2 linked regions of the Macaca fascicularis genome follow. The protein of the gene in region 1 interacts with the protein of each later gene in a biochemical or structural test. Links are inferred from orthologs where the notes say so. Each region holds a gene or a part of one and is shown on either strand. Other genes may lie near its edges.

Evidence for each region.
Region 2: of the proteins of CASP3 (region 1) and GZMB, one has a biochemical effect on the other in vitro, tested with the Homo sapiens proteins (2 studies listed by BioGRID). The link is inferred for Macaca fascicularis from reciprocal best matches to the Homo sapiens genes CASP3 and GZMB.

Annotation. Positions count from the first base shown.
Region 1 is NC_088379.1:189,403,147-189,406,547, reverse strand, and holds part of CASP3 (caspase-3), read left to right. Parts: intron 1-331; coding exon 332-460; intron 461-780; coding exon 781-956; intron 957-1,243; coding exon 1,244-1,364; intron 1,365-2,861; coding exon 2,862-3,091; 3' UTR 3,092-3,401. UniProt on the Homo sapiens protein: Thiol protease that acts as a major effector caspase involved in the execution phase of apoptosis. Following cleavage and activation by initiator caspases (CASP8, CASP9 and/or CASP10), mediates execution of apoptosis by catalyzing cleavage of many proteins.
Region 2 is NC_088381.1:92,433,298-92,438,540, forward strand, and holds the start of GZMB (granzyme B), read right to left. Parts: upstream 3,211-5,243; 5' UTR 3,181-3,210; coding exon 3,126-3,180; intron 2,087-3,125; coding exon 1,939-2,086; intron 1,483-1,938; coding exon 1,347-1,482; intron 1,134-1,346; coding exon 873-1,133; intron 230-872; coding exon 86-229; 3' UTR 1-85. UniProt on the Homo sapiens protein: Abundant protease in the cytosolic granules of cytotoxic T-cells and NK-cells which activates caspase-independent pyroptosis when delivered into the target cell through the immunological synapse. It cleaves after Asp.

The sequences.
Region 1 (3,401 bases):
GTGAAAATGACAACATAGTATATCCCATTATATAAGTGAGTGTAACTTGTCTAACCAAGCCCCTAGTGTTAGACATTTGTTTCTGTTTTTCACCTGCCTAAACAGCTGTGAAAGATCATTTTGGCTATAACACTGATAAGCTTATATTATAAAATATAAGCTACAAAGTTGAAGAGATTTTGTGTCACCAAACTCAAAGTAGTTAGAGTTCTCTTACCATTTAAAAGGAAGAATTTATTGTGGACTTTTGAATTGCTAGGTAGTTAATTTCATTTCAAAGTAGTTATTCTTTGCTTTCAATACAATTAAAAGTAATTCTTTCTGTTCCAAGGAATGGCATCTCGGTCTGGTACAGATGTTGATGCAGCAAACCTCAGGGAAACATTCATAAACTTGAAATATGAAGTCAGGAATAAAAACGATCTTACACGTGAAGAAATTGTGGAATTGATGCGTAATGGTAAGAAGAAACAATTAGAAGAGTGAACTTCATTGTACAATTTTATATTATGGTCTAGCAATAATTACATGTATAATATGAGAATTGTGGAATTATACTGTACCTAACCCTAATCTTACATACTTTAGTAAGAAATTAAAAAAAAGTTATTTATGCCAACTTCCTAAAATAGTTTGAGATGTGTTGCTGTGCCCCAGGTTAGATTAAGATGATCTCTCAGTTTTATTCTCAGTTTCTTCATCATGTTCCCATACAGTATATCTGAAGTTGTTGAATAAAGTCATGGATTTTTTTCCTTTTATTTGCAAATGTCTTTCCAGTTTCTAAAGAAGATCACAGCAAAAGGAGCAGTTTTGTTTGTGTGCTTCTGAGCCATGGTGAAGAAGGAATAATTTTTGGAACAAATGGACCTCTTGACCTGAAAAAAATTACAAGCTTTTTCAGAGGGGATTGTTGTAGAAGTCTAACTGGAAAACCCAAACTTTTCATTATTCAGGTAATGTATAACTGAGTGATTTGGTTGTTGACGATTAAGCAGGGGTTACTTTTCTTAATTGGAAATTATCCAAAGGATTTGTAGTTTTTTTCCTGAAGTTAATGAACTATTGTTATTTTTCATTTATTTAAACTACCACTTAAAAGATACAGAGTAAATTTTAATTTTATACTTATATCAAAAAGGCTCAGCATAATTAACATCCATTTTTACATAACGTTTTTAGGAATAAGTTACATGTTCACACACAAATTTTTATAAATAAATATTTATTTTCTAACACCCAGGCCTGCCGTGGCACAGAACTGGACTGTGGCATTGAGACAGACAGTGGTGTTGAGGATGACATGGCGTGTCATAAAATCCCAGTGGAGGCCGACTTCTTGTATGCATACTCCACAGCACCTGGTGAGAAAGTTACACATAATGAATGTTACATGTGGATTTTAAATGAATTACACTGTGACTAATCAGAATTATACAATGAAGAGTGTGTTTCAGAGACTGTCAAGATTTTGATATCCCTAAAGATATCAAAACTTGTTTATATTTTAGAGAACCTTCATCAAAGAGAAGTCTCAAAAAGTTATCTTTAGCCAAAAGTTTGGCTAGAAAATATGCATACATAGCCAGGCACGGTGGCTCACGCCTGTAATCCTAGTGCTTTGGGAGGCCAAGGCAGGCAGATCACTTGAGGTCAGGAGTTCACAACCAGCCTGGCCAACATGGTGAAACCTCGTCGCTACTAAAAATACAAAAAAATTAGCTGGGTGTGGTGGCACATGCCTGTAATCTCAGCTACTTGGGAGGCTGAGGCAGAAGAATTGCTTGAACCTGGGAGGCAAAGGTTGCAGTGAGCCGAGATTGCACCACTGCACTCCAGCCTGGGCGACAGAGCGAGACTCCGTCTCAAAAAAAGAAAAAAAAAATGCATACATAGAGTAGACTAGCACGATGTCATTCATTGGACTTATGTGGCAACAGAGGCCAAGTCAGAGCTTCCGCTGCATCTTATAGAAGAAGAGAGGTATGTTTCTCAGGAATTATTTGAAAGGTAGTAAATAAAAAAGATAAACATGACTGGTATACAAGAGGATAGATGTGGAGTGGGAGAAAATAAAGAAGGTAAAAAATGATACATGAATATGCCGTTAACCTCCACTTTTTTACAGTTCCGCTGCACATCGTCTAAATAAATATTTGTTGATTATACCACCATTTACTTACACAACTAACTCAGGGTGTCAGAGTTTGGAAACTTAAAGTAAATGTATTCTTAAGCAGTGTGGCATTTTAAAATATGCTCAATATGGTTTATTTTATCCTCTAGGCATCTTTCCAAGCAAAGTACCTCTAAGTTAAAAGCAGTGGGTCTAACATTTAACCTAGAAAACAAAGTATGATAAATACACTATTTTCCCTTTTTAGAACTTTTGAATACTCGGTAGTGTGTTTATTATACTTTATTCAGATGCTCTGTAGACAAGCAGGACACTCAAAGCAATTTATTTCTAGACTAAGTCAGTATTAAAATAAGGTGAAATCTGATTGGAACACTGTGCTACTTAAAATGATCCTTTTTATACATCTTTACTTTTGCATCTTCTGTGTGTTTGCTGTTCTTGCCTATTGAAAGGGGAGTCCAAAAAGTAAAACTTTGAATAATTCAGTGTTCGTGAAGCTGGTCCCGGCCCCTGTCTTTGCTGAAAGCAGGGGCTGTACGCATAGCACACATTCTTCCTTCTTCAGCATCATTTCTTCTGAAACCAAAGGTGTCTTTTTTTTTTCTTTGACTAATAAGACTTGTGGGTTTATGCTTATTCTTGCCTTTATGACTACATAATAATTTATAGAATCAACTAAAATCAGCTATCCATGGTATTTTCGTTGTATTTTGCCTTTTAGGTTATTATTCTTGGCGAAATTCAAAGGATGGCTCCTGGTTCATCCAGTCGCTTTGTGCCATGCTGAAACAGTACGCCGACAAGCTTGAATTTATGCACATTCTTACCCGGGTTAACCGAAAGGTGGCAACAGAATTTGAGTCCTTTTCCCTTGATGCTACTTTTCATGCAAAGAAACAGATTCCATGTATTGTTTCCATGCTCACAAAAGAACTGTATTTTTATCACTAAAGAAATGGTTGGTTGGTGGTTTTTTTCAGTTTGTATGCCAAGTGAGAAGACGGTATATTTGGTACTTATTTCCCTCTCATTTTGACCTAGTCTCATACTGCAGAGGGTACTTTAAGTCATACTCCTTCCATCAGGTGGAACCACTGTGAAGCTACCTCAAACTTAGAGCCAGGTAGTTGCAATTGAATTAAATTAGGAATAAATAAAAATGGATACTGGTGCAGTCATTATGAGAGGCAGTGATTGTTAATTTACAGCTTTCATGATTAGCAAGTTGCAGTGATGCTGTGCTATGAATTTTCAAGTAATC
Region 2 (5,243 bases), on another chromosome or scaffold:
TTGCTGGCACCTCTCCCAGTGTAAATCTGGACTCGGCTCTGAGAAGGTGGTTCATCACAGCGGGGGCTTAGTTTGCTTTCTGTAGTTAGTGGCGTTTCATGGTTTTCTTTATCCAGCGTACAAAGCTTGAGACTTTGGTGCAGACTCGTGGAGGCTTGCCATTTCTTTGTCCATAGGAGACAATGCCCTGGGCCACCTTGTTACACACAAGGGGGCCTCCAGAGTCCCCCTGTGAATAGAGAGTGGAAGGACTGAGCTGATGCTCCTCTGGGTCCTGCCCTCTCTGCCATCTCAAGCCCCCACTTAGAAAAGGCCAACTTGCACAGCGTGCATGTGGGAGATGAGAGGGCAGGGCAGGCTGCTGGTGGCCCCCAGCTGCCAAGCTCTGGCTCTGGAAATTGTTACTGCTTCACCTCATCCCAGCGGCCAGCCTCCGTCATCTCCCCCAGATCCTGAGATTGCAGGAATGTGGGACCGTTGGCTGTTTAAGGACCCAGAAGTGGGCAAGGAGGGCTGATATCCACCATGGAGGACCAGCCCATTAACCACGTTGGGTACTGACCTCTGAAGACACACCTGGTTATAATTACTGCATTCCCAGTGGGCACAGTTTCCTAATATCTGTGACCTGGAGTGGGTAGAGTGTTGCAAATTCATCCTTCCAAAGGAGCACCATCCACCATAAGCCTCCTTGTAAGTTTGCAGAGGCCCTAATTTCTCCCCAGCTCTGTCTAGTCCCCTTTTCTCTTTCCAGAGAGAAAGATCACAGTCTAGTGGGTGAAGGAGTCCCCCACTACTTAGGTCTGCAGGTCTCAGATCTTCCCCAAACATCTTTCTCCCCAGAGCCAATCCAGGTAGATGCATAGTCTCACCTTAAAGGAAGCCTTTTGAATCTCTGGGTCCCCCACGCACAACTCAACAGTACTGTCGTAATAACGGCCTAAGCGGGATTTGCACGTTTGATCTTCCTCCACTGTCAACTTCACCTCCTGCAGTGTGTGTGCGTATTTTCCATCGGGGGTCGTCTGTCCCCAGCCGGCCACATCGCACGCCTGCCCTGGCTTCACCTGGGCCTTGTTCCTAGGTAGCCTGAGGGGCTGCACAGCTGTGGTCCGCTTGGCCTTTCTCTCCAGCTGGTGGGGAAGAGGCAAGAAAGTTCAGGTCAGCCAATGAACTTCTGGGCCCTGACACAGTGATGGGACTATGCTGTCTTCTCTCTCCTCTGAGGCACAGGAATTAACCAAAAGGCCAGGATGGAAAGGAGGGAAGGGCCTGCATCACAGTGGGAGTGGAACCAACCGGACTTCTTGCTCAAGAAGAGCAAGAGTGGCAGGAGTGTGCCTCACCTGTAGTAGCATGATGTCGTTGGAAAAGTTCTCAGGATTATAGGCTGGGTGGGGGATGGCTCTTTTCACAGGGATAATCTGCTGGGTCCGCTCCTGTTCCTTGATATTGTGGGCCCCCAAGGTGACATTTATGGAGCTGCACAGAGAGCAGAGTGAGGATGGGGGCGGAGTCACAGAGGACACAGCCCAGAGACAGTGAAGAGCAGGTGACAGCTGGGGCAGGGCTGCAGCTGAGGGGAAATTAAGGGGACAGTCTGTCCCCAGGAATTGGAATTCTGGTAATTGCACCATGTTTCTCAGGGGTCGGTTCCCCCTTGAAACACCGGTGGAATTGCTTCAGTTTGTATTCTTATGCCAAAGTATGCCCCCGGTTCTAAATATGGCAGGGTTGGTCACTCTGCTGTTTCTTACTTCAGCAGCGCCTCTGGAACCAACCTTCCCCCCTCTCCACAAACTTACCTGCCCTTTTCTCACCCTCTAAGGAGCCCTCCTGGCATATGTGTTCCCAGGAGCCCAAGGAGCTCCTTGGGAAGAAGGCAGGGGTCTCTGTGGAGTGTTTCCGGGAAAGTATGGGCTGTTTTCTGCTCCTCACCTTCCCCAACAGTGAGCAGCTGTCAGCACGAAGTCCTCTCGTATCAGGAAGCCACCGCACCTCTTCAGAGACATCTGATCCCAGATCATAAGATAAGCCATGTAGGGGCGGGAGTGGGGCTTGGCCTCATGTCCCCCGATGATCTCCCCTGAAGGAAAAGTCTCTCTGCTTGTGTGCACCCACGGAATCTGCTGGGTGGGCACCTGCTTGATGGCTCCAGAATTCCTGGGCATTTGGGAACCTGGGATAGCCTGGAGTTGGGAGGGGCCTGGAGGAAGGGGTTTCAATTTCCTGCTCTGTAAAAGGGAAGAACAGCAGACTTTGGTCTGTAAATCTTTCTTCCATATGTAGTCGAAGGCAAGCATACCTGTCTTAGGGACAGTGAAATCCCAGAGGCTCCTGATCATTCCTTTCCTGACTTTGCTTTGTTTCAGGTGAGTTTCCAAGACCTACGAGTCCCATGGTTTCTAGGATAGTGCTGCTTTCTAATAGCCAGGGCATAAGTGGAGGGATCTAGATACTGTCATATGCTATTTCCTAGAGCCTGACATGTAGTGGGTGCCCAATAAATGTTCATGGCTGCATGATGGACTGGCTCCAGTTAGCCTCTGGATGAGGGCTGGCAGAGCAGTGCTGGTGGAATTCTAGAAAACGGAAGTTCAGGCTTGCCATAGTGCCTCATTCTTGGAAAGAGGGGAGCCACCAAAGGCCAGGGAAGAAAAGCAGAGTTGGAGAATGGGACTGAGCAAACACACTAACAGTGTTCTGAGGACAGTGATTGCACCAGTTCTGCTGTCAGCTGAGCTCTGGGTTTCTCTCCTAAGTAGACGGTGAGAGAAGGACCTGTGTTATCCCAGAAACAGAAGCCAGGCCTACTCTAGAATAATTTAATATTTCTCTTTTCTAGTTTCCCATCCTCTGCCATTTACTTCTAGGAAAGTCTCACTCTCCAGGTGACAAAGGTGGGCTCTGGAGAGGGGATAGTACCCACTGGCTCTTCTTGAGAACGGCCTTCTGCTCTGCCATTCCTGCTGATAGCTTATCCAGCATCACACCTGGGGGGTCTTGGTACAATGGGAGCTGGAGTTCAGAACATTCCTGGTAGATAGATGGATCAGGAATGTGGAGAAAGGGCAGGAGACCTATGGGATGGGGTTGGGCCCCCGAGGGTGGAGACGATCACTCACCTGCATCTGTCCTGCGCAGCAGGAGGAAGGCCAGCAGGAGCAGGATTGGTTGCATGTTCTCAGAAAGGCTGTCCTGGTTGGAGCTGCTGTTGTTTCCTCCTTGCTCTCTTTTAGCTCTTGGGAGAGGAAAGAGGTGGAGCAGGCTCAGTGACTTCATGTTCCCCTCTGGTTTTGTGGTGTCTCATCACAGATTTTCTGTGAATGCTGCCCACCCCCACTGCTTCTGCCTGATGACGTCCTCTGGGTGCTTGTGTGAAAATCATGCAGTGACCACATCAGCACCCACAGCTGATGACTCAGAGTAGACTACCTATTCAGCCCAGAGCAGGAACCCAAGCATATGAAGTGAACTGTAGGATATGGTATCAGCCAGTAGAGGTACTGAAGCACCAGAAACCTGAGTTCCCAGTGATAGAACCCCAATGCCTCAAGGCCATGCTGCTAAATCCATCAGGATAGTTTCTTTAGCAGTTTGTGCTGGAACCAAGCATGTTGGAGATGTGTCTCCTTCCCTTAGAGAGCTGACCGTCTGGTTGAAGAGACAAATGCCAGGAGCCAGAGTACAGTTTGGGGAGGGCCATGGTAGAGCAATACACAAGGTAGTAACAAAGTATGGCCACCATCTACTAGACCCATCTAGCAACCCATTTATTATCATAGCTTCCTTTCTAGGGAATTTCTAACATCCTTTATTTAGTTACAAATATTTAGTGTGAGAGTTCACCTCTTTTCTGAACGCTTTCAATAAAAGTCCTGTACTTGACATTTTATTGGGCTAGATTAACAAATTGCTAGGAGTTGAATCCACTTTGGGTAGGCTGGGGTCAGTCCACTCAAGCCACTAGAACCAAGAATGAGAAAGGGCTGGTTCTCTAAAGGACGTTTGTAATGCTAAACTGCTGATACCATGTGAAGTGAGGAAGCATGCCAGGCAGCCAAAGATAAGTAGTTGTCTTTTTTAGTATTCTGTCTCCTGTCCAGAGAGCCACACTTCTTACATAGCAGGCTCAGCACATAATAGGCACACAGTAAACATTTGCTAAACAAACTACACTAATGCTATCGTTATGATGGATGTGAAAGATGGTTGTTTCTAAACAGCCTGTGCCCAATTCTATTAAAAAAAAACTAAATCTCTCTACGTGGTTTGATTATTGTGATTTGTTTCCATCTTTGTATTTTCTGTATTTTACAATTTTTCTATGAAGAATGGTATATCTCAAAAATAGAATTCCAGTGTAAATGTCTTCCTTGTCAATAGCAAGCCAACTACATTTATCAGACTTCTGTTTTTTGAACCTAGCTTGCCCCATAGTAGATGTTTTAAAAATATTTTTTTCTGATTATAGTCATAACATATGTTTATTAAGAAAATTTGGAAAGTAGGAAGGGAAAATATCACTTATTAATCTGTCTCCCACAGACTGACTGTTACCATAAGCAGTGTGTTTTAAATACTTGGGATCACATTGTACAGACAATGCAGTTTATTTTATCCTTGCTTAACCCTACAAATTAAGCATTTCTAAAATTATTCTACTAATAATTGTAGAAATCTATTAGTTAATACAACTATAGTCTTTCTTTCCTAGGCATTAAAAAATTTAACATGCAAGTAATTTTTAAATAATTTGAGCAAAGAGAAAATAATTAAAGTTACCTAATTTCTCATAATTCACTGATAACCATCTTTAATGTCTTGAAGTATGCTCTAGCACATTTTTTCTCATGTAATATCTGTCTTTTTTAAAATTAAAAGGGGATTATGCTAAACATAAGTTTGTGACCCATTTAAAAAATTGAGGTAAAATTCACATAACCTACAATTAACCATTTTAAAATATTCAATTCAGTGACATTTAGCACATTCAAAATCTGCAGCCACCACCTCTGGATATTTCATATAAACGGAATCACACAATACATGACCTGTTATGGCTGACTACATTCACTTGTAATAATGTTTTTGAGATTCATACAAGCTGTAGCACATGCCAGTACTCGTTCTTTTTAATGGCAAAATAATGTTCCCATTATGTTTATACCACAAGTTATTTGTTCATCTGTCAACGGACATTTGGATTGTTTCCATCTTTTGGCTATTGTAGCTAATGCAGC